Linked DNA regions of Drosophila melanogaster. The protein of the gene in region 4 interacts with the protein of the main gene of each other region in a pairwise test. Each region holds a gene or a part of one and is shown on either strand. Other genes may lie near its edges.

The links.
Region 1: the proteins of CG11404 (region 4) and Desi interact in a two-hybrid assay, tested with the Drosophila melanogaster proteins (one large-scale study listed by BioGRID).
Region 2: the proteins of CG11404 (region 4) and Bsg interact in a two-hybrid assay, tested with the Drosophila melanogaster proteins (one large-scale study listed by BioGRID).
Region 3: the proteins of CG11404 (region 4) and CG1275 interact in a two-hybrid assay, tested with the Drosophila melanogaster proteins (one large-scale study listed by BioGRID).

The regions. Positions count from the first base shown.
Region 1 is NT_033777.3:10,776,625-10,783,159, forward strand, and holds Desi (desiccate), read left to right. Parts: upstream 1-2,944; 5' UTR 2,945-3,067; coding exon 3,068-3,162; intron 3,163-3,213; coding exon 3,214-3,349; intron 3,350-3,424; coding exon 3,425-3,578; intron 3,579-3,636; coding exon 3,637-3,823; intron 3,824-3,891; coding exon 3,892-4,105; 3' UTR 4,106-4,201; downstream 4,202-6,535. Other genes in the region: CG45076 (uncharacterized protein), read right to left, coding at 553-627; fau, read right to left, coding at 553-627; CG45078 (uncharacterized protein), read right to left, coding at 553-627; CG42633 (uncharacterized protein), read right to left, coding at 4,342-5,009, 5,064-5,230, 5,284-5,439, 5,510-5,643; mRpL37 (mitochondrial ribosomal protein L37), read right to left, coding at 5,985-6,406, 6,462-6,535.
Region 2 is NT_033779.5:8,084,579-8,092,592, reverse strand, and holds the start of Bsg (basigin), read right to left. Parts: upstream 4,290-8,014; 5' UTR 4,077-4,289; intron 3,984-4,076; exon of another isoform or gene 3,888-3,983; intron 3,491-3,887; exon of another isoform or gene 3,200-3,490; 5' UTR 2,930-3,199; coding exon 2,857-2,929; intron 1-2,856.
Region 3 is NT_037436.4:2,249,241-2,259,147, reverse strand, and holds CG1275 (uncharacterized protein), read left to right. Parts: upstream 1-1,724; 5' UTR 1,725-2,036; intron 2,037-2,335; exon of another isoform or gene 2,336-2,526; coding exon of another isoform or gene 2,527-2,542; intron 2,543-3,137; exon of another isoform or gene 3,138-3,325; 5' UTR 3,326-3,335; coding exon 3,336-3,609; intron 3,610-5,161; coding exon 5,162-5,371; intron 5,372-5,455; coding exon 5,456-5,819; intron 5,820-5,876; coding exon 5,877-6,051; 3' UTR 6,052-6,404; downstream 6,405-9,907. Other genes in the region: Elp5 (elongator complex protein 5), read right to left, coding at 475-568, 631-1,276, 1,346-1,394; CG32305 (uncharacterized protein), read right to left, coding at 6,419-6,900, 6,952-7,152, 7,209-7,618, 7,669-7,937, 7,991-8,080, 8,133-8,379, 8,438-9,373, 9,425-9,558 and 1 more.
Region 4 is NT_037436.4:22,544,373-22,550,958, forward strand, and holds CG11404 (uncharacterized protein), read left to right. Parts: upstream 1-4,064; 5' UTR 4,065-4,087; coding exon 4,088-4,172; intron 4,173-4,219; coding exon 4,220-4,380; intron 4,381-4,433; coding exon 4,434-4,757; 3' UTR 4,758-4,970; downstream 4,971-6,586. Other genes in the region: Trxr2 (thioredoxin reductase 2), read left to right, coding at 5,949-6,586.

The DNA.
Region 1 (6,535 bases), on a different chromosome or scaffold from region 4:
TGTGAGAGTTATTAAATTGTTAGAAATAGGCTTATGTATGAATTACTACACAAATGTTTACACTGAACCTGAAAATGCTATATATGTACAACATGGGCAGAACGTCTAGGTGATCATTAAATATAATATCTCTGAGCACAAGGACATTCCGTTGCGAAAGACCAGCTAGTTAGGTACTGTAAGTTCGATACGATATTCATAATTGGTAGACACTTTACATTCAAACGTGTTTCAATTTCTCAAGTAATCTGCTCGCTTCTCAGAATGATACCATTGAGTACAGCAAGTGGGACACAAGCGCTTAAAACTGAATTCTTGTGACTACAGATTCGATTAGCCATTAGCTAAGTGCTAACAGCAAATAGTTAACTGCTTTCAAATTTGTCAAATTTATCCTCAGCGTTTTTTGCAATCACAGGTTAGTTTATTCTTGAACTGCTTAAGTTTCGAGTTTGGCAACTGTACGCACAGATATATTTCACAGATTTAAATCGAGGAAAACCACACTACCGTATGTCAAGTAAAGTTCAGATTCTATTTCGAAGGGCTTACCGTAACTGCGTAGGAAGTTGTCACCGGCCTCGAGGAGTAGGTTCTGCGGGTCGTAAATCCACTTTCGTAAACCATGTTGAGATTTTTAGATTTGGATGCTTTGAGAGTTTTCAAATAGAATTGTTCGTTGGATTTTGGTTCGGATATATCGTCGTTGCGTGTTGTTCACTTGACGCCCGTTCGAGTTGATCTGCCTGAGAATCGCACGGAGCACTTGCTTATAATTTTTTGATTTTCAAAATTTTCACAGCCTTCGATCCCGCTCTCTCTCGCACGTTCGGTCCATACCTCTTTCTCTATCCATCTCCCAAATGAACTTATTTTTGGAATTAAGAAACATTGACATCTCTCCTCGCAAAAGAGCGAGCGAATTCTGTTTACATAAAGCCAGCACTTTTCATACAGTTGCGTTCGGAAAAGCCTATATACACATGAAATGTACCGAGTCTAGTGCTCCCAGGATATAGAGCCCTTATCTGCGAAAACAGACGTCACGGATTTCTTCCAGAACTTTATAGATAAGATTAGAATCTGTATTTAGCATGGGATATGACTCGAATTGATGATGATGGCATCTGAAGATGGAGGAAAGGCTAATATTTGGCATAGGCTAAATATGGGTCGATAAACATCAAAACATTCGGCGGATTATTTATTTATAAATCTGCCACAAGAATTTCTCAATATAATGAGCAATTATTGATTATGGTAATTTCAATATTTTTACATTTAATTGGCATTTAGCAGTATGATTACATGTAGACATTAATAATGTTTATAGCTTAATTCGTATTCCCATCATTCAAAATATCAGCATTCAAAGCATCACCGTTGTTTAAAGATTGATTAGCCAAAACTGATATGAATGAGCTTGGCATTTTTTGAAACAAATAAGGCGTGAAATTAAAATCCTGAGAGCAATTTATGGTCAGTGGGTATCACCTGTGGACCGGACACAGAGCTTTCCACACAAATAGCTGGATATAAATTATTAAGAAAATACAAAAATGAAAATAAGATAAAAATAAATGTTGTTTTCCAACAGTTTGAGGCCAGATTACTCATACCATCTTACAATAAGATCGGAAACATGTATTCGTGAACATATAAATAAACTGCACATCATCCTATACCCACATTTTAAATCGGGTGTGTAGGTGTTTGCTTGTATATAAACAAAACCATGGCAGAAATTCAAAAAAACCAAATTCTTTATGACATTAACCTTAACGAGAGGCAATGAATGATTCGTAATTTCAAGGCTGCCGAAGTCAGCCTAATCGGCGAACAAAAATGTCATTGAGCACTGACTTGGAATTTAGTGTTTGCTTTGTATTAATTAGGTGTTAATAGACATTGAAAAATTAGCAGAAAATAAATTGGCGAAAAGGATTCAATATAGCGAACAAATCTTCTTTGATTAAATGAAAAAGGTGGCACAACATTTCTGCAACATGTTGATTTTCATAAATCTATAAAGAGGTATTACTTTAGGTCTGCAACTTGAAAAGGTTTACTAATTGTCCATAAAAGTATTCGTGTCTGACATAATTCATTCATTATTTTAATATGAGGTGATATATGGAGGTCATTGTCTGGCGACCCTGACGATGTTGAATCTTTAGATCTGTAAGATCTTTAAGAGATTATTTTTGAAACTATGCATCTAAAAAATATGAATGTAAAAGACCTTATTCAAACGAATTTAGTATTAATATTTCTTGATATGCTTATTTAATGTTTAATATTACGATAACTTACAAAAATTTATTCAGCAATATACGTTTAGCTTATAAATATCAATGTAAGAGCCCATATATTTAGGCCCGTTTGAATATATATACGATATAAAACGAGCGGCAAGATGTCAGTGACTTAATACCAGAAATCTCTTGGTCGGATGCCCCTCATAATGATGCAAGTGGCGCAGGTGCAAACACTTCCATGTGTCTCCGTTCCCAAGTCGCGATTTTGATCCATTGGAGTACATAGATATACGACTTTTGGTTTCAGATGCATGGCTGCTCAATTTATCCGCCCAGCCAGCGTGGTTGTTTGTTGGCGTCTTCGCCACTTTTTTTTTTGTGTCTGCGATAATTTTGTTAAATAATTGAGTATGCAATGAAAATTGCGCATTACAGCGACATAAGTACGATGAATGGTCTTTCATTGGGGGGGGGTTGTTTACTGTGCTTGTATGGGGACATAAGTGCCTATATGGTTACAAACACCTGTTCATTCGTTTTGCTAGAATGCGTTTCTTTCCTCACTTTTTCCCAAATACTCGCATAAACGGCATTCAAATCCGCACGCTGCTTGACATTTTGTAATTTGAACAAATTGCTTGCATTTTTAGGCAACTCCTATAAATAGTGGAGTTGCTGCTGCTGGAAATATTAGTTTGGAGCAGAGCGAACGACACGTTGGAGCCACGAGCCAAAAACCCCAAAGGACTATTACTAATTTACAAAAAAAAAAAAAGAAACCCAAAAGGATACCCTCTTAAAAGAGCACAATGAACCGAAATTACATTGTCATACTGCAGCTGCTGGGAGTGTTGGTTGTGCTGACCTACGCCAGTGCAATCCCCAAATACGAAGATAGCCATAAGTAAGTCAATTCTAGTACCCCATATACGATACTCATTTGGAATGGCTTCAGGTTCTATGCGGATAAGGCGCAGCGGGATAGGTCGTACTTTAATGAAAACAAGACCCAGCCTAGTGAACCGCAGACAGCTTCCACGAAGGATAGACTGGAACGACTGGGCTATACCACTGGCTACGGATCCCTAAATGTGCGTAAACTACATCAGAACCTCCAAACCGTGGGCTAAACTACTAACATTGATCTGTGAACTTAAATTGTCTAGGGTTATCCTGGCGGTACTGGACTATCCGCCTACAATCCCATAAAACTGGACCTGGGTGGCGTTGTCTTAGGAACTCTTGTGGGCATAGGTGCCATTATACTGATTCCTAAGATTCTATCCGCCTTCCATGGTGGTTATGGAGGCTACGGCCGCAGTGAGTGAAATGCTTTTATGGAAATTCAAAAATAAAGTTAATTTTCGGTCATTTTTAGGCGAGGACAGTGACCTAACACCACTGAGCAGCATGATCAATAAGATTGACGATGTTCTGGGCCAGAATAATATTGACTCGACGAGTTGCATGCAACGTGCTGTGTGCGGTTATGTTCGCTCTACGGAGTATAATATGAAGATCGGTTCCTCAGACCAGATGGACGAATTTATTCATATGCTAGCGGAGTGAGTAGAGGCTTTTAACTCCAAGGTACTTAGCACACAATATTTGCTTTTGACTTACTTGTTTCCAGAAATGCCCTGGTGGATTACCTCCTCGATGGAACGGCTATTAAGGAGGCATTGGAGCATGGAAAGCGAGCCAATGATCGAGCCTGTGAAGAGGTGTACTCCAATTGTCCGCTGGACAGTAAATCAGCTACGGATATTCTAATGAAGCTGATGCCAAAGAAAAACCCACAAGGAAAAGGAAAATCATCTGGAATTTCCCGAGAAAAGAAGGTTTAGTTAATGTTGTTCTATGAAATTTTAAAAAATTGTTCTCCATTTGCATACAACCAAATATTTTCCCAACATATAAATAAACTCCATTGTGTTATCTTTATTCAACTAGTTTCTGTGCGTTTATAAGCTTTTCCAAAACAATTAACAATGCCTTAGGCCATTTACCATATAATTTCTTTGGTAAGAAGTTTTAACCATAGATCCAATATTTTGTAAGCATTTGTGATTTTTGAGTACGTCTATTCTGGGGAGGCATTCTTAGCCTCATTGCCGCTTAAAATAATTTGCAATTGCTTTTCCTGCTGTTCAATGAGGGGCAACCACTGCTCCGATGGGGCTATAAACTTGGTCGGTTGAAAGGTGGGTATTTTACCTAGTTTTCCCAAAACCGACCTGCGATGCGCTTGATTCTCAATCATGATGTGTTCCAGTTTGTCTACCAAGTGGTTGGACTCTTTGATCAGGTCATCGATGGACTGCAGCAGGGCGTACCAATCTATTTTCTGCGTACCAATCAGAGCATTACCCCTCAATCGAAAGGGAAAGGGAACGAAGCTGCGCCAAGGCTTAAACGATTCGATGGTATAGGGTATAAAATGCCGCTCAGATTCCATTTCCACGGCATCGTCATCGAAATGCCAGGATGCTAGAGTAGGAGCCAATATAGAGTTACTCCCACTTCCCCTCGACAGATTCGATTCATCAAAGTTGAGCCTCCGTATCTTGGCTATCTGATCACCAAGTCTCTTCTCCACATCGGAGATGCCATCACTGTCATCCTCATCGGATTTGGGTAGATAGGAGTTGACCAGGTCCTTGTTATAGGCCTTCGGCAGTAGCGTCTGAGTTTGTCGCGAAACGGTAGGCACACTATCGGTCATTTGGGACATGGAATAGGTAAGAACATCTGCAAGTATTTGGGTTACATTTAACTAAACCAAATATCTAACTGAAAACTTACACTTCTCATAGCCATCCTTCTTTTTGGAGTACTGTCCATCAGTGAGAATACCTACGTCCTTGAGTAGAATAAGATCCTTCTGTACCCCGAAACTGACTTCCTTCATGAGCTTCGTCGGCACAAAGTCCGTCTGCAAGGCCACATTAGCCTTGCCAGCTCTTAGTCGTCTGTATGGAAAAACACTAAGTACTATTTAAATTGTATGATTTGGCTTAAAGACCTTGAGGCATCCAGTAACTTGGCCCGAAGCAAGGCGCTCTTATCGGGCTTGGTGAGCGTGGAAACGCTAACTGCCCGCCAAGGAGGTCGCTTGGCTTCATTTTCCTTTTCCTTCTCCGCAGCCAGCTCCTTCATGCGTCTCCAACTGTTTTTGGCTCTAAAGAGGAGGTATTTTATTTGTTAAAATAATGTGTAAGGTATTTTATAAGTTAAACCCTATTACCCACCTACTCAATGATGCACTACTCGAACGAATGGCTGAATGCGGAGTACCTTGCTGGTCATCCACACTTTGCGTCTCGCTGGTTTCCGATGATGTGCCACTGTTGTTGGAGCTGGTACTCTGCTTTTGCCTACTCATGGTAGCGAGTTTTTGCCTTTTAAAACTTTAAATGTGTGTGGGTGGAGAAAACTGCTTGACGTCTCTATTAGCAGTCAATACATCGATGCATAAACAATTCAGTGCATCCTGGTTGCTATGGCGTCGACTGAAATAGTTGGGGATGGGGCTTGGATATCGACCTGTGGATGAAAGGGAATAACAAGGCGCCAAATAATTCAGGCATTCACACCTTGTTAAATCACCCGGTGTTGACACTCTAGCTATTTTAAGTAAAGAAGGAGGCAAGAGGCAATACATAATAATAAAATAATATACAGACATAACAAAAACATATTTTATTATTCAGTAAGATTTCTATTTTAGGAATTGTTATAGAAAGCATTAAATATGCGGAAGACCTCGCCATTGTAATTATCCAAATGCGTTCGCCCTCCTTCATAAGAGCATTCAGCAAACAGATTGTAGTTTTGCCTATGGAACCAATAGTTCTTGGCAGTGCTATTGGCACCAAGATCGAGGGTATTCAGCTGCAACACTCCGAAGTGGAACGTCCTACCGTCAGTCTGGACGCTCTGCACAACAATTGGTTTGGGAAGAGCTCCTACGGAATCCCCATGCAGTTGCTTTGCTCGAGCGGCTGCCACAACGAAAGCTTTGACCAGTGTCCTCGCCTGAAGCTGAGAAGTTGTGACCTCGGATCCGTGGGAGTTTTTGACTTGGTGTTTGTTAAACACCGTAAAGATGGTGTGCGGGTGGGAGCAGGTGATGTCCGAGCGCAAAGCTAAATGAATAACATTGTTAGTCATGCATCGGGTAGTACTTATTAAACAACTTACGATACAAGTTCTTAGCTTGGTAAATGTGGTACTTCGGAATCGATATAGTACTCTTCATGGGGTAAAGATCAGGC
Region 2 (8,014 bases), on a different chromosome or scaffold from region 4:
GTTTAGTTTAGTTTATATTGATACAAATAGTATCATAGCATTTTAAGCATTTAAACCTTTTTTTTAGCCCACTTTACATCGGTTTCATTTTACGCTACTTGTTTGCTTTGGCTTCCTTTTGCTGGGTGAGCCGAAATTTAAATATTTGACATTTATTAATGTAATGAAAATGTCATTAAATAAACATGGCAAAATGAAACTGGTTAGCCAAATGTGCGCAGTCAACAGCCGAAATGAAAGCACTTGCCAAGACATTCCACCTGCTCGGATATTCCGCAAAACAAAAGAGAAATAAGGAGGAGTACATGGTACAGTGTACATACATATGTACATATGTATGTGACAAGACCTATGGAATATTCTCAGACTTGGGGGCAATATGGGATGGGGGGTTGGGTGGTGTGACCAGACCAGCATTATATTTTGGCTCTTCGCACATTCGTCCGCAGCATAAACACCTGGACAACACGTGGTTTTTTCGCCACTAGCTGAAAATGGCTTTGAAGTGGTGTGGGGCAAATTCAGCGGGGAGACAAAGGAATGCTTCTTCAAATTGGCTTTCTGGTTTTCGACCTGCCACCCCTACCCCCCCTTTCCAACAACAAGCAACCAAAGTGATTCATGTAGTGCCAACATATGTATGTACCACCCGACATTATCTCCCTGGAGGGATCGCTTTTCTTGTTTTTCCATGCCGGTTTTCCCTCGATGCGTGCCCGGTAATTTCTTTCTTTTATTTCGGCTGCTTATTTACGTAAACAATTTGAAAAATCATTGAATATTTAGTACGCTAACGAAATTGTGCAAAAAATACCAAATGGTCTAATAAAAACTAAGAGTAAGGTACAACAACACTTAACGATATGGGTTTGTTCTAAAATGGACAATAGTTTTGCATTTCGTTTTTAACCCATAATAAGCCGAAACTTTGTGTATCTATGAATAATTGAACAAATCAATCAGAGAACCTAATAAAGACACGAATAAAACCTTAAATTATTTACACACTGCCTTTTGAACGGAACGAATACCCCCAATCAACTATGAATAAATGCCAGCATATGAACAGCACGAAAAAAAAACTCAATTAATACACCTTGAATGTGAAAATAGCTGCATGGGGCTAAATAATGTACGAAACAAAACAAAACCAGCCAAACGTTCAGTTTAGCGAAAAAAAAAATCAAAATTCATGAACATACGTAGGTTTTGGTAGTGAGCCAGAGCCAGACGGACATTCAGATATTCAGACGGACGGACGGATAGATATGTAGATAGATGGATGTATGGAATAAAGTAGAATAGGTAAATGGATAGTATGCATAGAATAATAAATAGATGGAACCGCCCGCGCGGGCATCATAGACAAATCCCCAAGGAAGGTGGAAGGTGCGAGGCGGGGCTGCCCAGTTCCATATGTAAACAAAATGCAGGCCACCGTTGCCGGTTCGTATCGGGTACGTATCGGGCACGTATCGGTTAATCGGTAAATCGATTCGTTCTGGTCCGCTTCGCTTTGGGTCGGCTAAAGTTAATATAAACAAGCGGGGAAAACCAGAGACAGGCCGTAATTATTGGACCGCATGTAAAATAGTCTTCTTAAGGCTAAACAAAAATTCTTAAAGATAGCCCTCACTAGAACCGAAATGAACTTGATACTCTGCTTTTGCGTCTGCTTCTGCTTCTGCTCCTCTGCTTTTTTTTTCCGACATTCGCCGCTGTTCTCTTTCAGCAATTGTGTGGAAAATTGAAAATCAAATGAAATGCGGTCGCGCGAACAGTGGAAAAGCGACGGAAAACCTACGACGAAAACGGCAGGGGGAAAAAACATAAGCAACAATGTCAATATGGCAGCACTGCAATCCAATCCCAAGTCCATCCAACCGACCCAACAATATGAACTATAAAAGCAACACGAAAATATCGAAGTCCGCTTAACTAGAGGGCAAAACAGTAGAATGCAGCACAGAGACCTTGTCCAAAGTTGGAAAATGGATGGTGGGTGGCTCGTGGGTGGCTGGTGGGTGGATGGTGTCCCGTGCAATATGAAAAGAGAATACATAAAGCCGGGCAAAAAAGAAATGTGATTGTCCATTTTGTGGTTCTATTCAAAGACGAGAACGTGAACGAAATAAAAGTTTCATTTTTAAAAGCGCGGACTCAAATATATTAATATTTTCGAATATCGCTGGTAAAACCCATTTGTGTCTTGTGGCTAAAGGACCAGCAAAGTGCCCCTTTCTGAGATCCCCTAATTTGAAGAATTATCGATACATTTCTCCGATAACTTTACCATTGATTTAAGTCGCCTCGTATTAATACTGTTTGTTTCCATTATTGCGGCTAGGGTCTGGCTTTAGGGTGAACTTGGAAGGGGTAAAAGTCAGGTGGTGGGTGGACGAACACCCTCGCCCTTTGGTGGGTGCACTTTTGTTTTGGGTGGCGGGGCAATTAGGGGGCGTGGGATAAGGTTAGTGGGTGTTACAGTAAGCCACAAACAATCTGCTGTTTTTTATTTATTCCCTTCCTCCTCTTGCTCCACCTCTTTGTTTTGCTTTGTTCGGTTCGGTTGTGTTCTGTTTTGCAATTTCTGCTATCACAGCTGCAGTTTAACCATACTTTCCCCCATATACATATGTATGTATATTTTTTGTATTCCTTTATACTGGGCTGCTACGTACATAGGTGTGTTAATATTATATGTGTGTATGGGTGGGTGTGTGGTTGGGGCAGGGTGATTTTATGGGCGGGGTACAACTTATAGGTTAAAAGGGCCTTCTTTGTTTATCATTATGCTTATTGTAGGGGGTTCATTCTTTTAGATTTAGAGGGGTTTTTTCGGGGGGCTGTACTCACCAAGTGATTGAGCATAAATCGCTAAAAATATCGAGAGGAATGAAAGAGCGCTAGCCAAGAATTTTGCCTCCATCTTTGGTATTGATCCGTTGTTGTTGTTGGTTGTTGTTAATTATGCTGCCGATGTGTGGTTGTTGTTGTTGGCGGTGACTTGTTGTTGTTGTCGTTTTCGTTATTTCCTTGTCATTTGCATTTATTACAGATTTGTGAATTTACTCCGTTTAATGATTGATTAATTATTTGTGGCTGTTGGTTGGTTGGTTGTTGATGTTGTTGTTGGTTGTGGTGTTTCTTTTTCTTTGCTTTTCTTATTTTTTTTTTTTTGTACTTTAAGCTTAACTTACTAAATCATTATGGTAAATATTAATTTATAAATAGATCTTTAAATGTATACGTTATTAGGCTTAGTTATTTAATTTGATATTAGTTGATGCTGTTGATGTTGTTGGTTGGTTGTTTGCTTTGGATCTTCCGTTTGGTGTTTTGCTTGAGTGCGAATTTTTCTATTTTTTGGCTCTTCCAGCTTTCCTATTTTGTTCTTAATTCATGAAGCTATATTCGCAAATAAAAATATTTAAGAAAATTTCTCATTTTGCATTTATTTTCGTATGAAGGCAAACTTTTCGTGCGCTTCCCCGTATTCTTTTTGTTGTGTTTTTCGTTCGGTTTTATTTGTATGCTTTTTTCCAACAACAAAGGCAAAAGGAAAGACGAGTGAGAGAAAACTTTTTAAAATTATACATCAATATTCAAATTAAGAAGAGATTGTGGAGAGGAGCGGAATCAAGGATACAAAAACAAATCGAAAAGATCAAAATCAAAACGAAAGCCGAACGAACAACATTCAACATTCAGCTAAATGTATAATTTTTCAAATGTCACATTTAATTTTTTTTTGTTTTATTTTCACTGCAGCTAAGCACGTGCTGTTCACATAAGTGGGGCGGCGGGTGGTTGGGTTTTTCTTTTAGCCCGCTAATTTAACGTTAACTTTTGCAGTTCTTTTTTCACACGCACTCACACAAACGCACATCTAACTTTTCCCAGTCCAAAAGTTCTATTTTTTTGCTGGCTAAGCAGAAAAAAGAAATTATGGCACGTTGACGACGAAAATACTATTTTTCTGGCTAGCCAACGAGCAAAAGAGAGGGAGATAGAGTGAAAGCAAGAGAAAGAGAGTGAGGGATTCTTGAGACTGAGAGCAAATAATTATGTTTTACACAAGGAGCGCAACAATTTCTAGCTGCTTTTTAGCCAATGGCCATTGTTGTTGCTGCACGTACTTGTACTAGTGTAGTTGTTGTTTCTGTTTGGCTGTTCTTGCACAACGGGAACACAAAAAGCAAACGAAATTTGGCAAACGGACGGGCCAAAACGAGGCAAACAGAACAGAGCGAACAGAGCGAACGCGGCGAATTCAGCGAGCAGACTGAATCGCACACATGACCAACGGACGAGAGTAGCCGCCTTCGCTGCGGCAGCGACGTCGACGCACAGTGATTTGGGTTCAGTTTGACATACACTTGTCAGCTTATCTAAATAGTTCGGCCGTTATCTTGACCAGACCGATTACGAGTACTGTACAAAATGGCGAAAAATAAATCGAGTTTAAACGACATTTTTTCATTATACAGGAATCTTTAGGAATTTGAAATCACCTGTTTTATTTAAAACAAAATGCAGAAGCTAGGTCTGACTTCAAGCTACTAAATTAGCTAGAAACTTAAAAAAAATTTTAAAACCATAAATTGAGTTATTAATCAATATTTGCTCTTGGAAACCTTATCTTACAGTTCAATAGGAATTTCCCAAATTGACGGAATTACAATGTACTTGTGCTCGTATGGGCCTGAAAGTACGCTACTTTTATTCACTTTTCTCTCAGCCTATAGAAGCACTTAAGGAACAGTATCAAACAAATTGCAATCGAGCAATGATTCAACAAAAATCACCAAGTGACAGAGTCTGCGAGTAATTACGACCAATTATTTGACGATCGAAGAAAAATAGCATTCCATTTGCTTCACCGCATGACGTCCGCATAAAAGCTGATAACAATTGGCCCGAGATCTATTATTACTTCTAGAATTTCGTATTGCGGATGTGTCGAGAAAACAACTATTCCCACTCTTATCAATGCGGGAGGACAGTCACCGAGTAAGCAGAATAGATAAGAAAAAAAAAAGGGTAGAAGCTATCACCAGAGCTGGCCGATTTCATTATCCATGAACATTAGCTTTAAAATTCCTCAACTGACGAAAGGCATCAATGTTTGAAAAACAGCTAAAATAATAAACCTTACATAAGAATTAAAATTCTTACTCGTTTCTATTTCCCCCCAAAATAAAAGCCATAAAACACGTAAACATTTTTGAAAGCAATTGTGTTATACAAGGAAACAGCTCAAAAAAAACTAGTCAAAATAAATTCTCAAACTTTTGGCAATAAAACCGTCGAACGGACAACGCTAAATCATAGTGCGCTGGATTTTTTGTTTACCGCCAGACGACGTGCGGCCCTCAGCAGAGCAGATAGAACGCCAGTTGAAATGTTTCCGTAACGTGTCACGAATCCGACTCTCATTCTATCGCATTAAGATAAAGCCCCAATGCAGTACTTTGAACAAATACGGGACTCCGTCCGTCCGTCCGTATCACCAACACCAATACTACCGCAACCAAAAACCACACCAACGTCTTGGCCACATGATATAATACCGTAGCCGGAGCATGGTCGACAACGACGTCAGATGTCCGCGGCCCAGTCGCCGAGTCCCAAAGACCCAGACCACCAGACCGTCCAAACTGACCGCCTCTGGTCCATTGCCGTCCCGCTCGCACTGCCGCTCTGGTTTCGGGCGGTTCTATGCGGTTCGCACACGAATGTAGATCTCCATCTTTTCGGAAGGCAGGGAACTTTGCTAATTCGGCATGGGTGTTGGAAAGGTAGGGGTTTTTTGCGGGTTGGCGGCATCGAGGGGGGTTGTCTCGTCGCATTTATTATTGGTCAGCCGTATTTATTTTTACAAATTTGCGAGAGCAAATATGAAATCAGCTGTTCGCATTGCCCGCTGAGATTAAAGCGATCAGGGGGGTATATAGTATTTGATGAGGTGTTTCCAACAACCAAACCATAGAGAACATTTTGCAATGCTTGCAATGAGTTCATAAATAATAAAGAAGCAAGAAGAGTCATAGGACTTGTAGTTGACAATAGAAGTACTAATAATTGACAAATTTTCCAAAGTTCTTGCCAGTTGATAAAGCGAAAAATCTATTACTCATAATTGACGTGTTCGCACAAAATAAAACTGTCGACAGATAATGTGATTGATGAAATATTTAATATACTATGTACTGCATTGGCCACTATGCCTTTATAACTAATAATCTTGAAATTTAGAGATTATAGTGAAATTTATCAAAAAACGACCACATGGTTCATGGCGTTTACGTGTTAGACTTTCAATTTAGGTATTATTATTATTCCATTAAATTTAATTACCATAACCACCTAATTTATTCTCACTGATGATAATTTTCCATTAGCTTAAACTAAAATCAAATTAATGGCAAAATATATAGCAATTTAGCTTTCCAATGTGATAGCTAGAGCACGCAAACGAGTTCATCTTCATCGATATCGTATCGTTTCAAATTAATTAGAACTCAAATCAGATTTATCACGGAGTGAGAGCATCCTACACAAACTAGTTTTCAAAGCCGCATTTTGGTGGACAAAGGGGGAGGCTTGGGGGTGCGGGCGGCGGTGTTGTGCGGCATGTTATCGATTTGGAGGAGAAACAAAAAACATTGCTATCGATTTGCTGCTGGCCTCGAGGTCAATCGAATGCTAAATGCCATGGTAGTCGTGTTCGGGCATTGGTGCCAAACTTTTGTTCCTTCTTTCGCGTTTTATTGGCAAACTTTGAGCATAAACACTTTGGAGACAAATTGCCCTAGCCGCAAGTTAGGCAGCGGACTATAATAGAGTAGAAAAGAGCAGCAGCATAACGTCATCGTCAGCCATGACTCAGTTTATTTGCTCTCTCGTACGCTCGCTCAAGACCCACACACACCAACGCACACTCCGACATTCAAGCGGCACACACAAACGATGCTGTTCTAAGCCGAGGCCAAAAATCGAACCTCGGATGACCGATAAAAAATGAAATAATAAGCGGGCATTGGGAGAGGGGTGTCAATTTAATTGCCTTAATTAAAAGGCTTAGAAAAACAAGACTGAGTTCCATCATCATCGCAATCGAATTCATGCGTTCCTCTTTATTTCGCCAACAGGGTTTACTTAGATGTGTGTATCTCGGTGTTGTCATCAATGCTGTGTACAGTGAAGCCGTCTTCAAATCGAAATAGATAGAAAACGGTTACAATCCGGGTTGTGATTTGAATCATCTAAAAACTACAGGCAAACTTCTTGAGTAAAAACCTTTGGCACACGAGGAATTATTTCTGAATTTCTCGAAGGTAAAGTTTTCAACACAGAACCATTAACTTTAAAAGCCAGCAAACCCCAAAAGATGACCAATGCAATATATAATTCCTTGCTTTGTTTGCTTTTTTTTTAGCCCAAAAAACACAATTTGGTTTCCATTTAAGGACAAAGTGCGTGTAATCCGCAAAGTATGCTATAAGAACGAATGTTTAAGATGTCCCAATAAGACTAGTGTTTGAAATCCAGCATTTCTTTAAAGTATCCTACCATAAACGGATTGCAACCCACTGTGCCCGCGATCGCCGAGGTATGCAATGGAATTTGATATGGCCAACAGCTCTGGGGTAACCACAATAAAGAACGAGTTTATCTATTCTGAGCCGCTGTTCATTAGCCGAGAGCCCTCACTGTATCGATGTTGATGTTGGTGTGTCATGGCAGGCTGGATGACGTGATTGTCTCCTCTCCTCTTCGCTGCTCTGCTCTTCTCTTCCCCTTCCACGCTCTCCCACTCTCTTGCTCGATGGCTTTTCTCCTTTCTCTGCGCCCGCATATGATTAAAACGGCAAAACAAGATAAAACTCGTTGGAGCAAAGGAGCTGCTGCCGCCTGCTTGTTGGCTTTGTTGTTGTTGCTGTTGGATAGGCCCTGCGAGTGGGTCAGTGTTCGAAAAGGGTGTGAGGTTGCGGGTGGGGGTGGTGGGTAA
Region 3 (9,907 bases), about 20 Mb from region 4:
TCCAATTGTATTTGATTTTCATATCAATAGAGCATAGTAGCACTTTGGAACTAGTTAAGTTAGTTAGGTTGAACGCCTTGTAAATACGCCACGCACTGGACACCAAAAGATCGCATTGCAGCCAAATATCGTGGAGGTAATCGAGAGTTAACTGTACATAAGGTTAGCTAGATGAAATTCCTTAACTAAGTCATAAGCTAGGGCACCACCAGATAGCAATTGAATCAGTTGTATGTATTCACAAGTTTCTTCGATTTTTTGATTCACATATCAAGTTATCCAAAATAAATGAGCAATTCTACGTGTACTAAGTGGTCGTTCAAAGATTCATTCTGCTCCTCTGGCGAGGTTGAACACACCCCTAGGCGGAACTTTGGGGCCGGAATTCCAGGTATTTTATGGTTTTAGTAGGTTAGACTTAAGGAGACTTAAAGCCAAGGCTATTTGTACTGCCGTTCGCTGCTGGCGGGCAGCCTAGATGCACAGATCCTCGTCCGGATCCTCCTCGTCGAAATCGTCGTCGGCATCGGGCGTGTATATTATGTTTCCCTCAGACGGCTCGGATGTGCTATCATATATACGAACATATCAATAAGGAGATGTAACGCATAGAGAATGGTTACCACTCACCGTTCGTATGGCAGGGTGAGTGCATTGCGGGCCAACACTTCATCCTCGTCAAGCTCGATTTTGAAGGTGCTGCTGGCCGGCTCTGTGGTCTGCTCCGCCTCGGGCGAGGGCTGCTTGGGGGAGGCACCTGCAGGCAGTCCTCCGTCCAGCGGCGTCACCTTGAACTGGGTTTTGCTGACTTCGCAGGAGTAGCGCCTGTTGGACACCCCTCCGCCCGGCTTGCGTGATATCAGCGAGAGTAGTTTGTCCGATTCCAGTCGGAGGACCAGCTCGGCCAGGTACTCGCAGCCAGCCAGGATGTAGTCGGCATGCGGATCCTGCAGGTGCTGCGGGGAGGCCCAAAGGAAAACCCGACGCACATTGTCCGAGCGGCGTAGGCGGTTGAGGAAGCCAAATATGAAAGCAGGCGTCTGGTAGCACAGCAGGTCTGCCAATGTTGGCAGGATGACGTTAAAGCCAGTGGAGTTGGAATCCGTAGTACTCCCAGTGTTGTTGTTGGCGTACTTGTCGATCAGTGCCTCGAAGGTGGCCACGTGCTTAAGGCTGACGCCGGTGGGCAGGGCCTTGATGGTATCCGCCCCCTGTCCCTGCTCGTGCAGCAGACTGCCGATGAACTTGGGGGCAATGCGCTCCCGATTTAGCTCATCTGTGGATGAGGCGGGAGATTGGTGGTCGCATTATTTGGCAGACGATGGGGTAGTCAGTGTGTACTCACCTATTACGAGGACCACTTTCTGCTTGGTCACCACCAGGTTGGAGAGCATTTTGTTAGCATTTATTGTGGGACTACCTAAATATTATTTTAAATTGAAGCTTTTTGTTGGAGCTGCCAGTGCTGCCGAGCTAAAGGCGTTAGCGTGTTTCAGTCGTGCTCAATGGGCCACACTGGCGGCATAAGGGAATCCAGGGTCTCGAAGTAAATGTTTTCCAAGCTCTAGTTAAATATGAATATAAAGTTTGTAAATTTTTAAAATTAAAACTCACACAGTCAGTACTTTCTATCATCATGTGAACGTATATTAAATGCACACTATTTTTTCAGCACACGCAGCTACAGTATGATTCTCGCATCCCTGGTTGTCCCGCTTTTTTCCAAATGAGTAAACAGAAAATCGAAGCGGTTAACAGATCGAGTTACAGTTTAAAACCCTTTGATAGTGAAAGTTTGACCGTGTCCTTGACTTGCTGTACTAAATTAAGTATCAATGAATGTGCCGCTTTAAGTTTAACTTGTTAATAATAATGCTGACGTAGTAAATTCGCACAGCATTCCGCTCTCTTATGCTGCCAAATTATCTCTTTGTGTTTGTGCCGTTTCTGTTTGTGTTCTTGCCTCTTCCGTTGAAGACATTTTGGAAATATTCCAAACAAAACACATTATTGGATTACTGATTCATTTCAAATCTGTAAGTTTACCTGTTTCTATTTCAACTACGTCTTTAAATGTAGTTTACAAACAGTTATAATTTGGTTGTGGCTTTCCATTAATATAATATCCAACAAGTGGTTTTTCTACAGTGGTGTGAGCCCGAAAGTTTGTTTGCATGTGTGCTTCGGCGTTTACAGTTCTGAGCTTCCAACGAAAAGCTCGTGGAAATGCCAAATGAAATGGCCAAGTGCGGCAGAGTGGGCGGGGCTTTAGGGCTTTCACGCCCACGCAGCCTGTGCAGAATTTCCACGGCTTTTCCTCCATATGGAAGGCCCAGCTTCCTGCATTTTAAGCAGTTTGTTCAACAAGTAGAGTAAAGTGCGTGGCAGTAGCCACGAAAATCAGAAGTAATCGCGAAAAACCCATCGTCATCGCTTTAAAGTCACTAATTGCTGCTAAAGATAAGAGCAGGCGGTATTGAAACAGGCATTATCTGAGCAGAGTGAAGCATCAATCAAGTATACGCCATGTTGTTCTCACTGGGTGAGTTGAAGTGCACATACAGTCATTATTGCACAGCATGAACTTAAGCTCTTTAAGAGGGAAAGCTACTTGTTGTCCTTAAAGGTTTCACTTTACTGTAGATGTACTTTCGAAACTAAGAACAATATTGAAATAGTTGTTACTAACAAATTTTACCCAAAAACTTTTTGTAAACCCTTTTACGTTTTGGATTCCACTCCTTCTGGCAAAAAGTAGTTCCAATTGAAGCAGTTCCACTGCACCATCCCATTACTATGCACAGAACATCAAAGTCAAAGTCGCAATTGAAATGCCGCGCAGTGACAATGGTTTGAATAGATCCGAGGAATGCGAAATGCAAATAATCATCAATGCACCCCCTTCCCAACCAGAAGCGATCGACCTGGTCCGGCATACTAACCAGCATTCGTTGGCACCCAAAGCCAAAGGCAAAGTCAAAAGCAAACCCAACCCCACTGGAATCCTATCCGCATCGAGAACCAAACAATTATCCACACCGAAATGAGCAATATGTGTGTGCGATGTCGCATGCGAGAGATTTGCGAGCGGAAAAAGCTTTTCCTAACCATCGCCGGGCGGCGGCTGGAAAACTTTAAATTCAGTTGCGCATTGCACGCCGAAGTGTTCGGTTGTATTAACGGGGTGTCGTGCGGATTAGTTACTAGTAGTTAGTTACTAGCATTTACCAGTGTTTTTGTGCTGTGTCTTAGGGCAATTAACACCGTCCATTATACGTTGCATGTCTTTTTGTGGTTGAACCATTGGTGAATTATTGATTTAAAGTGCACAGACCATGTCGAAGGACGCGGACGTGGAGCAGGCGACCAAGCCGGAGAGCGGAGTTGTCCAGGTGGAGCCAGCGATTCCGGAGCAGCCACAGGCCGCCGTTCCGACCACCATCTCCACGGCGACCACAGTGATCGCGGTGACTAATGGGGAAAAGCCAGCGGCAGCGACACCAGCAACAACTGCAACACCTGCGACAGCAGAACAAGTGCAACCTGCAACAACCATCGCTGGCATTGAGTTGGCCACTCCAACGGCGGCGGCAACTTCACCACCAACAGGTAGACTGTGCATGGCATTGGATTTTGGCTGCAAGTTTGATTAGTGCCAAGTAAAATAAACCAACAAGCCGAGTGTTTAGTTATAGTAAAAGTTAAAGCAAAACGCACCGAAAGACAGACTGCAGCCGTCCCCTTTCCCCGCCGCGGTTTTCACCATCACCATCGGCATCACGATCCGCGATCAGCAAGCAGCCACTAGTAACCAGTAACCAGTAACCAGCTGAATTTCACTTTGGTTTTCCAGACTTTATTTATTTTGCTCCGCTGTCTTCGGACTTGTACGCTTTTCCAAATTCATCCAAAGTCATCTGCCCGGGTTTTACTTTCGGTCTTTTGGTGCGCCTATGTGGATTGTTTATTTCAAATTTTGCGCACGATCTGCTGCAACGCTTTGCTGGTCAGCGTCTTTGGCACGCCCACTTAACCCTAATAATTAACAGTCATAGTCACAGCTAATGTGCCAATTAATTTCACTCGGAACCCAGAGCTGCGTCGAAATGGAGCACTCCAACTGGAGCCCATTGAGTAACCGGGGACGCGTGGCTGCTGCCAGTTACCAGCATTTATAATTGCGATTGCCAGCTACAAGTGTCTCCGGCGCACTTATCAGCCAATTTACAAGCCAACACTTGGCAGTTTGGCTCATTTGCTTATTATTCGCCCGAGTCGAAATTAAAACACCATTTGCATACCAAACGCCAATTAGGGCGGCTGATAGCGGCCCTTATCGAGTGCATCTGCACCTACAAGTTTACTAGCCTTTTAAACTATCTTAGTCAAGTCCAATCTATACTATACCAAACTATGAACACGGCTACTTTCACTACCCGTACGTTCCGTAAAATGAATCGAACTTTAATTTATTTAATGTATCATGCTGCAACATCAAGCACGAGGAACTTGTACGATGCTATTTAAAGCGATTTAATATCAGATGTTCGGACTATCTGGAGAACATACTGATAAGGCGACAGATAAAGTGGGCAGAACGCTCTGGCGTTGAAAATTAATGTTGGGTAAACAAGCGCAAATGTTTACGCATGAATTAGCCAAATTACGCCTGGTGAGTGGCCGGCGAAAGGGGTCGTGGGTGTGTCCCAGTGCCTGGGAACAGGCCGTTCCCATTAACTCAGGGCCCAGTCGATATGATGAGATCTTGTTTATCGCAGTATCGGATGGCTGGCGGCAAAGGAACTGTTTGTTTACCCAACGAGTGCAGCTGCCATCGAAGCGGATCAGATGTACAACTGTTAAAGTGGGTTTTTGGGAAGCCTATTGGCTCCCTAAACTTCTGGTCGCATGTTATCAGCAAGTGCTTGGGGGTTATTTTAATCTGCGGGCAGGTGGAACATGTAATTGAATCATGTTTACGTAGCAGAGGCTATAAACCAAAAGTATGGAAAATATAAACGAGTGCTTGAGATCCCCTTCCCCTTTCGATGCCCCGATATCTCTACCCTTGAATGAGTTATGCGATTAGATCGCCAATGCGTGCTGTGCGTAAAATGGCCTCTATTTTTAGCTCATCCCCAGCTTTTATTGGATTTTTCAGGCAGCGGCAAGGCCAACATGGATCCAGCGCTGATCAACTTTAAGGTGCTCTATGTGCTCACCCAGCTGTGCGGCCTGACCATGATCGTCCTGGTGGCCACCTGGATTGGCCAGCACTTCGGCGGTCTGGCCGGCACCTCAAATCCCGGCGTGGAGTTCAACTGGCATCCGCTGTTCATGACCATTGGCTTCATTTACCTGTATGGCAACTGTGAGTAAATGCAGCGGAAGAGGTGCCACGCCACTCCCATTGACTAGCTTCGAAATGGTAATCCAACTCAATTCAATCCCACAGCCATTCTGATCTATCGTGGTTTCCGCACCACGCGCAAGAAGACTCTGAAGCTTACCCACGCCGGCATCCACATGGGTGCATTCATTCTGACGGTGATTGCCCTGAAGACGGTCTTCGATTCCCACAACTTGGCCAATCCGCCCATTCCCAACATGTACTCCCTGCACTCTTGGCTGGGGCTCTCCGCGGTGATCGTCTTCTCGCTGCAGTATGTGGCCGGATTTGTGGCCTTTTTGGCGCCGGGGTTGAGGGAGAACTACAGGATCGCCATGATGCCGCTGCACATCTACTTCGGACTCTTTGGATTCGTTCTGGCTATTGCTAGTGCCCTGATGGGCATAACCGAGAAGGCCATCTTCGCCATGTAGGTGTATATGCATTCTAGATCGATCACTTGACTAATCCATGACGACATTTCTAGCAAAACTCCGGCTTACTCCACTCTTCCACCGGCTGGTGTGTTGGCCAATGTGATTGGAGTAATGTACGTGGTCTTCGGGGCGCTGGTTGTCTACCTAGCCACTGAGCCCTCCTACAAGCGGAAGCCCATTCCCGAGGACACGGCTCTGCTGAACTCCAGTTCTGTCAACGAGTAAGGGCTATGCCCATGCCCCAAATCAACTGCAATGCTTACTTAAGCTAAAAACTGTGCACAAAACCAAACGAAACCGAACCTGATCACACGGATGGTGCTTTCTTAGTGATGGAGATGGAGATTCGTCAAGATGAGTGTATTATCTGTAGCATGTACATAACCTAACGACTATGTATGACTCTGAATTATGAACATACGTATACTTTGGTCACCAGTTGTGCAATGATTTCAGCGAGTGCTCAAATCATAACGTATTTAACCTCAAGAAAAACATTTGCTTTGAACTGTACGAATACATCTATATATGTGTGTTATATATGCTTAAATAAATATATATATATATATATATCTATTAAAATAAATTTAAATTAATGAAGGTTCCCGGCCAGAAAGATGCCTCCCTTTTGGCGCTCATGTATCGAGACCTCCAGTTCATCGCCTTCAGATACATTTTCCTCGAGCTCTCCTTCAGCCTCCTCTTCATCCGAAGTGGAAGACTTTGGGGGCACGAAGCTCGGGGTGAATGACAGTGAAAGAGTGTCGATGACCCAGCTTTTTGAGTCCTTCATACTCATGCTCACTTGGTCGTGATCTTGGAATGTGAGATCCGGGTCTACGACCACCAGGTAGGTGGGCACCTTGCCCACTCCCTTTACCTCCGTGTGCCCTCGGTAGTTGCAGCGGATGTTAAATTGTCGCAGCACCTTTGCCGTGTGCCGAGTTACTTGGATGTTGTCCAGCAATCCAGTGGAGGACATCCGGGAGGCCATATTGACGGTATGACCCCAGATATCATAGTGTGGTTTCGAGAGTCCAACAACGCCGGCCATCACGGATCCATGGGAGATGCCTTAGATATCATTGGATGGATTAGGATAACGGTGAAGGTAATGCAGCCCACCTATCTTCAAGCTCCCCGTTAAGAATGTATCGTACTCCGAGAACACGTAGTTGTACCGAATGTCGTGCATGATGCGAAGTAAGTCCAGGGCAAACTCGGTCATCACCAGGACGGCGACATCTTGCACTTGGGCGTAGGGCTGGCTGACATTATCGCCGCTCATCTCATCGTCCTCGGTACTTCCAAAATGGACAGTCAGAACTGAATAGATGTACCTTTTACAATTGTACTCTAATCTAGTCGTGGGAAATAGTCACCGCTGGATCCTCGTCTAATTTCGGAATCAGCTTCCGGTTGCTTGACCGGAATGTCGATGGAGAAGTCCGTGTAGTGGTCCGTTTCGAGGCCACAGGCCACCATATAGGTCCAACCCATTACCTTGATCTTTTCGATTTTGTACCTGGTCTGGTAGTCAACCAGGAGGTCGTCGAAGCAGCAAATGATCTCGTGCAGGATCCGTAGGCCCGCCGTGTCGGCGTTAAAGTTCTCGATGGAGGCGAACATCACGGCCACCTTGGAGAAGTTCTCGTAGTAGAGCTGGTCGTGGGGTCGTCGCACCTTGTACACCTGAGCCACGTGGGTGGGCAGGATGTTAGCCATAATGATCTTGATGGAGCGCAGCTTTTCATCAGTTTGCTGGTGGGCTTCCTCGTAGCAAACGCGCATGCTGAAAAGGGAATGAGGAACCGATATACACAAAGATCTACACACACTCACAAGTAGTTAAACTTCCGAAGGTAGTTAACGTGACGTTCCCGCAATACGAGAACAATGAAGAGAGCCACCAGATACCAGGTGTGGGCGTAGTCCGACTTAAGTCCCAGATCAGTGGTCTCCGATCTCTCAAAGGCGAACCCGTAGTATAAATGGACGGTGCCCAAGTGGAGTCCAAGGATGAGCAGGCCGGCGAGTATCTTTATCACCAGCGGACATCCCGGGACGACAAACAGAAGACTGATCACGATGACCACACAGTAAGTGACAGTCTAAAAGTAGGAGATGTTTTCTAGTTTTCAAAATTGTAGATAGTGAAACCAACCCATGGACCGAAGCACTCCGCATACGACTTCTCATTATAGAGATGGGCTTCGATAATACTCAGTTCCAGTTTCGCTACATCACAGGAAAACTGTAAAGGATATGCAGAGCATTGTTTTTGATCACAAATTATAAATACTCACCACTGCTTGAGAGGACATAACGTAGAGCAGGAGCAGTACCACCATGGTCAATGGAATCCTTACGAACAGAGAGTCCTCGATTCTTTCCGAGATCCTGAGAAGCCATCGACTCAGGAAACAAGAGGGCTGCGACATGGGCGTTAGTTTCTTCCACTGCAGCCGAAGCTTTTTGTATCCAGCCAGAATGCACAGGATCAGTAGTATGAGAAGAATTCCGAGCAAGACCAGAATATCAGGGTATGTAGCTCTGTGGATCAAGAGATAAAGTGCAGTACTTGGCAGATTAACTAGCAGAGTCGTCTTACTCTTCGATTAAGTTAATGCTCATTATGGCCAGTCCAGCACAAAGAACTAAGAGCATGGTGTACTTAATCATGAGGTCAGGCAGGTTATGAAATTCCCACTCCCTCTTCCAGCTGCGGAACACACCCAGCACAAGGTGGATCTGGTTGCTAAACAGGTACTCCTCATTGAAGTCCTGTTTCTTCATCGAACTGCTCCGTCTCCATTCTATGAAGCAGTGCCCTACCGCCATTTGATCCACCTCCTTCATTATCTCGCGCTGCGCCTTGATCTGGATCTCTTCGTAGTATCCTCCGTAGCTCAGGCGGCATGAGTTTATGGAGGCGCTGCTCAATTCGTCGTCCAGTTCGCCGGGCTCCACTGCATCAGGAAGTCGATTGCTGACCAGGAAGGTGCGGATCCCCGCTTGCTGCAGGATGGGATCATTTTTGGCTGCCTCGGTGCCCTCTCTGAATATATAGTGCTCGTCCAGCATGCTCAGCGTCCGTTGGGAAACGTGCACCAGTCCCGGCAGCCCGGATGACTCCAGCCGATTGGTGATGTCCACGTCCTTGGACCAGATGTCAAACTGCCATTTGGTGTGCCCAATGATTCCTGCAAACACCTCACCCGAGTGCACACCAATTCGAAGGTTAATGTCCAGCTCGCGCCGGCTACTCACACCCTGCGTGATATGGATCATCTCCAGCGCCTGGTCAACGCAGCAGGAAGCGTGGGCGGGAAAGTAGTTCGGGATGCCAGCCACACAGTTGTAGGAATCTCCCAAGAACTTGATCCGCATCGCTCGGTTGCGATTGGCAGCCAGGTCAAAGTTCACAAACAGGTCGTGCAGAATCTCTACCAGTTGCGGTGCCTCCAGAGTGGTGGTCAGATGCGTGTAGTTCACCATGTCTGCTACCAAAATGGAAACATTCGGGTAGGGTTCCAGGAACAGTTTTCTGCAATTAAAACTAACAGTAAATGCATTTTAGAACATCGCGCATACGCACCGTAAGCCCGCCTTAGAAGGAGTGAAGTTCTTATCCTGATCCTCAATTCGACTACAGATTTCCTCCTGCAATGTGCGTATCATTTTGCGTGGTAAAATTGACTCTAACAAGCCATTCTCCTTCTTCATTACCAACTGTGGATAAGAAAGATGAGATCTTATATACTAATCACTTGGAAATAATAAATCTGGATGGCGAACCTGATAGACAATATTTTGGTATACCAACTGGTAGCGGCTAAGTATTGCTCGTCTAAGGCCGTAGTCCCTGATTATAGTGAAAAATGAAAAGATCAGGTTGAGGGTAAAGAGGTATATAGCATAGGAGGCGAGTAGGTAAAAGGAAACTTGATCGTTCAGATACTGCATATAGAAAGCGTAGCCGATATAAATTATGGATACCACCATTCCCAGGACATATACTGAGCTTCCCTGGTAGAATGCGATGGGTAGAGTCATGTAGACACTGACCAGGACAACATGG
Region 4 (6,586 bases):
GATGCATACCAACGGCAATCATTAAAGAGCTCGGGCTCTAACAACAAGCCCAATTGGGTGAACAAAATCTAAATCATATTTCCTTGATAATTTCCACAGCCTGGGATTAATTTATTTATTGCAATTGACCTGCCCAGCCAAATCCGATTATGGGATTAGTTGAATTGTTGTCAGAAAAGAGGATACTTTAATGATTCGAATTAATTTTTTGTAGAAGCAAATAAAAGCATTAAATGTGTAATTAGAGCATCGCCTTTCATATTTTACGATCCCTAATTGCAAGCAGGCATAGAAAAATGAGACAATCGAGCTTAATCAAAAGATATTTCTGCATTAACCAACCCTAGCATCATTTATTTCACCACAGCTGCAATTATCGATTTATTGCAATTGGAGTTCATGTGTTTTATTGCTAATTGGGACTTCAAAATGCCGTTCGACCAACAGCCATTGCGGCATCCACTCTTTTAGTATATACTATTGTTCACAATATATAAATAAATGGAGAATCTAAATTCAGTTAACTGCTACTTTGAGATTACAAACATACCAATTTTATTAAATTATTCATTGATTCATTCAATGGTTTTTCTTACTATACTATTTACTCATATCCTCATACAAATGGTTAAAAATCTTTAAATTCATATTTTAATTTTATTTTTCTGTGATCCAATTCTTAAAAGTTTGTATATCTATGCAATTCAAAAACATACTTGAAGAGTGTGGGGTGACAGATTGCTGCGTAGTTGCCATTACAGACTTCGACGTTCATAAGCTCATATGTACGACATGGCTAGTGATCCTGGTCCTATACTCATATCTATAAATAATTGATTGCATAATCTATATTAAATGTTCGGAAACGGATTCTTCAACCTGTACATTAAAGTTACATACGTGATACGTGTTTGATGCTCGTTGTGTGTGTGGCCCTGAGATACATTTGGTGATGATAACCTAGTGATCTGTATCAACAAGGAGCCCATCTTTTCACTGCCCATGCGACAGTGGTTAGGTCAGCTACGATGAATTAACTTAGCACAATACTGGTCAACTGCAGTCAATTAGACTCATTTGTAGGAAATTCGAGATATATTTAGTTTAAAAGGTAATAACTCGATAGAAAGCTCTTTTCGAATCAACTACAAGTGTGAACACACAGCTCCACTTCCACCTTACTGGCGTCCAAAGTGTGAGAGTGTTTTTCGGTCGAGTGCTGTGCTCGTAAAAGAAAGCCGCACTGGAAGCCCAGCAGGAAGTGTTGTAACTCGCACTTTAACAGATTCACCAATGCCACACACACAAAAAGTGTGGCTATCATGTCGTACACTTGATTTTGAGAACGGCACTGCGGCGGGGTCCTGGAGGGTAATATCTACGCACAGCATTTTGCTGAGCTAGCTTCGGTTTTAATTGCGGCTGGTGTAGCTGTTTCTGGCCACATAACCGGAAAATATATGCAGGATACCAAGCGGTTTATGTGCCATTATGAAGATGATACCCCCCCACTAACAAACAATTTGTGTGTGGGCGTTGGCTTTTATGAGCCTAGGCGAGCTCTCGAATGCTAGTTATGTAATCTGTCCAAAATATCCGTCTGCAATTAAAAACATTTTCAAGTCGTTTATTCTATATTTGGCGAGGAGTCGAACATAGGGGAAGGAAACTCAACAAAAGGATCGTAAAAGCGACTTTATGAAAATGTCTAAACAATTTTGTGGATTTAGGTTTATGAATTTATCGGAATTTTTTATAGCCCACTTTTATTGCCTGAGAGCGTAAGGCAGCACAAAAATTTGTATTTGAATATCAATAACAGTTTTAGGCGAAAATAGGTATAGTTTATTCTGAGATTAGCTATGGATTTAAAATTCTAATTAATACATGTAAAAGACGAAAATCTATTTGGGCTTTCCCAAACAAGCAGTTTTCAGTGACCGTAGCGAAATCAATTAGAGAATCCCATTCCGCAAATGCTACCCCAACAAATGTACACTTAAAACACATTGCCTGTGCAAACTAATCCAAGGCCGAGCTAAAATCCTTCTGGCTGGGAAGCTAATTCCGGAATCCTCGTCAATAGAAACGGTTTCAAATTAATTAATAAAATTCTCGTTTCAAGTGGGCCAGCTAACAAACAAACAGGCAAACTAGAATGAAAAGACTTGCGTTGAAAACGAATGTTGGTGAAGAAGTTGCTTATGCCAAGGCACGTGTGTGTGGGGCTGCTGTTTCCAAAAATGCCCTCTAACAGTCAACCACCTCAGAAACTGTTTGTTGCCCAAACCAAAGAGCAAATACTTCAATAAACGAAATTAAATATTTGAGCATGGATTGAAACATTTTCCTCAGCTTTTAAGGCGGACACAACAGGGTAAATCGAAAAAGAATTGAACACATTATGCCTCGCATTGGCAACAAATTAAATAATTGCTGCAAAAAGTTTGCCATCCGCAAATATTTCGACAAATAAACGTAAATAAACCATGGGTTCTCTAGACGCTTTTTCGGTATTGTTAGAATTTTTGAACAAATGTTGCCTTTTGTTAACTCACTTAGACATCCTTCGCACCAGTTCTGGCTTTGGCCGTTCCCGTTTTGTCAAATATTTTGTTTGCCACATTGTTTAACTTTTGACCCGATTCGTCCGCCTTGCTCCATGGTTCCTCTGTAATTAGACTTTAATTGAGCAATTGTAACCATCTCAGGCGAGTGTAATTCATTGGCGTTTTTGCCAAAATTGAGCCTGAGTTCCAAAGCCAACACCTTTTTGATGTCTAACCCTGGGCAAAGGAGAAAAGGCAGCATTTTGGATCTGAATCAAACTAATTAGGCGCAAACTTAATTAATATTTGATGTTTTTTTTACCAGTTTGTCTTATTACCATGACGGCTCGGCCAAAATCGCTCCAGACCTTCTCAAACCTTAAGTGGCCCTCGTCATTTGCCTGGCGACAGACAGAAGAAGCATAATGATAACTTTAGATGATATTTCGGGATTGGGCTTAATTTGGCTGAGTTTGAAAACATTTGATAAACTTGTCGCTAGGCAGGTGCCATCGCAGAAAGGGATTCGCAATATGCCTACTGATTTTGTGGGCATGTAGAGCGATTCAAATCACAAAATGGTAAGGTCAGATGAGGCGCAAAAGTTTTTCTAATGTTTATTGGCGAACTTTTTCATTTTTTACAACTTTTGTAGAAGTTTACGTCGTACATTTCCAACCCCCCGATTGCATTCTGCCTTTTCTGTTGTTGCCTAGGATCGTCCCCGGTCATTTTAAAGTTTAAATTATACTAGGGGGGAGTCTGAGGTCTGAGTGGTCTGGAATCCAACGATTGTCAGCACATTAGGCCTACGAAGTTGTCGAAGAGGAGTGGTGGGCAGCCATACTTGGAATTAAACTTTTATCGCATCAATTCCGAGAGTTTTTCCGCGTTTCCATGGCAAAGTTTCATTGTTGGAGAATTTTCTGATATTAATTTCTTTATTTAAAATCTCCCTAGTCGCCGAGATAAGGCGAATAAACGGTACTCACCCTTCTGGGGATAGGTGCCACTTACCTGCAAGTGAAGAAAAATATATGAAAACAAGAGAGAATGCTATAGTCGAGTTCCCCGACTATCAGATACCCGTTAATCAGCTAGTGTGATTGCGAACGCAAAATTTTATAATTTTTCTGAGATATCGATAGATAATTGGGAAAAAAATGATAAAAAATTTAAAAATTGCTTAAAAGTGTGGGCGTGGCCGGCTTAGCGGCGTTTTTAGCAAATCGATAAAAATTTACAAGACTAAAACATTATGAAAAAATATCGAAAAAATTTTCTATAATTTGGGCGTGGCAGTTTTATGCGGTCTAAGTGTGTAAGAATGGGCGATAGAAATCGATATAAATTTACAAGACTAATAAAAATGTGAAAAGAGATCAACACATCTACTCTGCGAGTAACGGGTATAGTTACAATATTTGGAAGTTCTAGCTAGAGAAAACGATATTTTTTAGTCAGCAATATAGTAAAGTAGTAAGGGATCTACCCTTCAAAGTCTTATATAACTATTGTATATTTTTTACAGCCGCAACATGATTTTTATGCCTGCTCTAAACTTGCTTGTGTACAACGTACTTGTAGGTTACATAAGCATGGAAATCAATCGAATCATAAATGGTAAGTTCTTTGTAAGGACCATCTCCTAATCACTGAAGTCTTTTTAGTTTCTACAGCCCAGACAAGTCTTTGGCAGAATATTCCTATTATCGGCCAGATGTTCGCTCCGTTACAACCGGAAACCAATTATGGAGTGGAGTTCGGGGAAAGCATGTGGGACTTTAACCTATATGTAAACATCTTACTGCTTCTCCCCGCATTTTTTCAGGTAAAAGACCACATAACTCGGGGACCACATTAATGTACCGAATTCACAACCAGATCTATCACATCTCCTTGCTGGTGGCGATTGTTCTCATGTGGAACTGCTACCTTCACCAGTGTCTGGCTGCTTTCCACCTGAAGATGGTGTGGCACTTGTGGTGGAGCGACCTATGCTGGAGCTACTACGCTTCTCTTGTCCTTTTCGGATTCCTGTTGACCATGCTGCACTTTAGTCTGATTATAGCAACCGTTATGTATCAGATGCAGATCGACGGAGATCCCAAACCTCGGATCCAGTCCGAGGCTCTCCCAGAGCAGCAGCCACATCCCGCAGAGGAAATTCAGGAACGAATGGCAATGGCCCAGACCATTAAGATCTAAAAAATCAGACACTAAACGACGGAGCACAGGTTCAGCCGCCTTTAAGTGGGTCACCATCAGTCAGGGGCTTAACCTTGCCGCATCTACAAATACACTGGGTCGGTGGTTCAACTAATAAATATGCCAGAAAACACCAGACACACAGATACCCCGCACGCACACACCAGCACACTACCGCAGACCAGGACATGTACAAATGAATCGCAGCTGAGGGCCGGTCGAGCATCGGGAAATAAAACCATTAAATATTTGCGGTTAAACGCACCAAAAACAAACCGCAAAAGTAAATCATATCCAGAGCAGGCATTGGACATGGCCAAGCATCCGAGGCAAAGAATTTCTCTTGCCTCACCCGACCGTCGTCCGGCATTTGTAGGCAAAAATATTAGATTAGAAATTAGAAAGGCATGGACATGCCCCGGATTGGATTGAGATTGGGCAGGCAGCAGACCAGAGCGCCATTAAATTGGGGATGGGATGCAGGGCAGGAAACTGACTGCCAACGGCCTGCCAAAAATTCCAAATGGTCCATGGCCAAGAAGCATAAATCATTGAAACTGACATTTCACCATTTCACTGGATTTGTATGTATATGCCAAAGGTTTGGCCAATTCTTGGGGAAGAAAGTGTTTTTTGGTGGTCGAGGAATTTGCATAGATATCCGTCGTTTTTCCCAAGGAACTACTGGGACAATCGCCCTGGAGTCGAAAATATGGATCCCTGTGTGTCCTTTATAGGTTCCCCTTTTCCCTTGAACTAGTTCCCCCCCAGAGAGCGGAGCATATCAGAGCTCCGAAACGAAATATCGTCATCTCTATTTCATCTTAATCTATGCTAAAAGCCAGCTCCCTCCACTTGAAGGGAATATTGATTCCGTTTCATATTCGGAGGGATTTGGCAGGATGTGCCTAATACCGTAAATGGGGGTCAACTTAACCTCATAGCAAGAAATGTCAGCAAAATCACGATATCTGAGCCAAGGTATTTTTATTGTCTTAAACAGCCTGAAATATATATTATTAGGAGCAATTATTAACTTTAGGGAAACGGTAAGTGAGCGCATGGTTTTTGTGACATCCTGGCTTTTTGGGCTGTCTAATAATTTCACAAGTTGGCAGTGCCGAGTCCTAAAATTCCGGTTTACCTTCTTTTCGACCTGAAATTTGTTCCCGTCCAATTTATCAGTCCAATATGTCGACGATAAAGTTTCTGCGATCCTCCACACACAACGCACTTCGGTCCAGCCTCGGATGGTGCCGCCTTGCTGCCTCAAGACCACGCTATGATTACGACCTTGTGGTGCTCGGCGGGGGCTCGGCGGGATTGGCGTGTGCCAAGGAGGCTGCTGGCTGTGGAGCCCGCGTGCTCTGCTTCGACTACGTCAAGCCCACTCCAGTGGGCACCAAGTGGGGCATCGGCGGCACCTGCGTGAATGTGGGCTGCATCCCCAAGAAGCTAATGCACCAGGCCTCGCTGCTGGGCGAGGCTGTTCACGAGGCGGTGGCCTACGGCTGGAATGTAGACGACACGAACATACGGCCCGATTGGCGCAAGTTGGTGCGCTCCGTCCAGAACCACATCAAGTCCGTCAACTGGGTGACCCGCGTGGACCTGCGCGACAAAAAGGTGGAGTACGTAAATTCGATGGCCACCTTTCGCGACAGCCACACCATCGAGTATGTGGCGATGCCAGGTGCCGAGCACCGTCAAGTGACCTCAGAGTACGTGGTGGTAGCCGTCGGCGGGAGGCCACGCTACCCGGACATTCCCGGAGCCGTTGAACTGGGCATCACCAGCGACGATATATTCAGCTACGAGCGAGAGCCGGG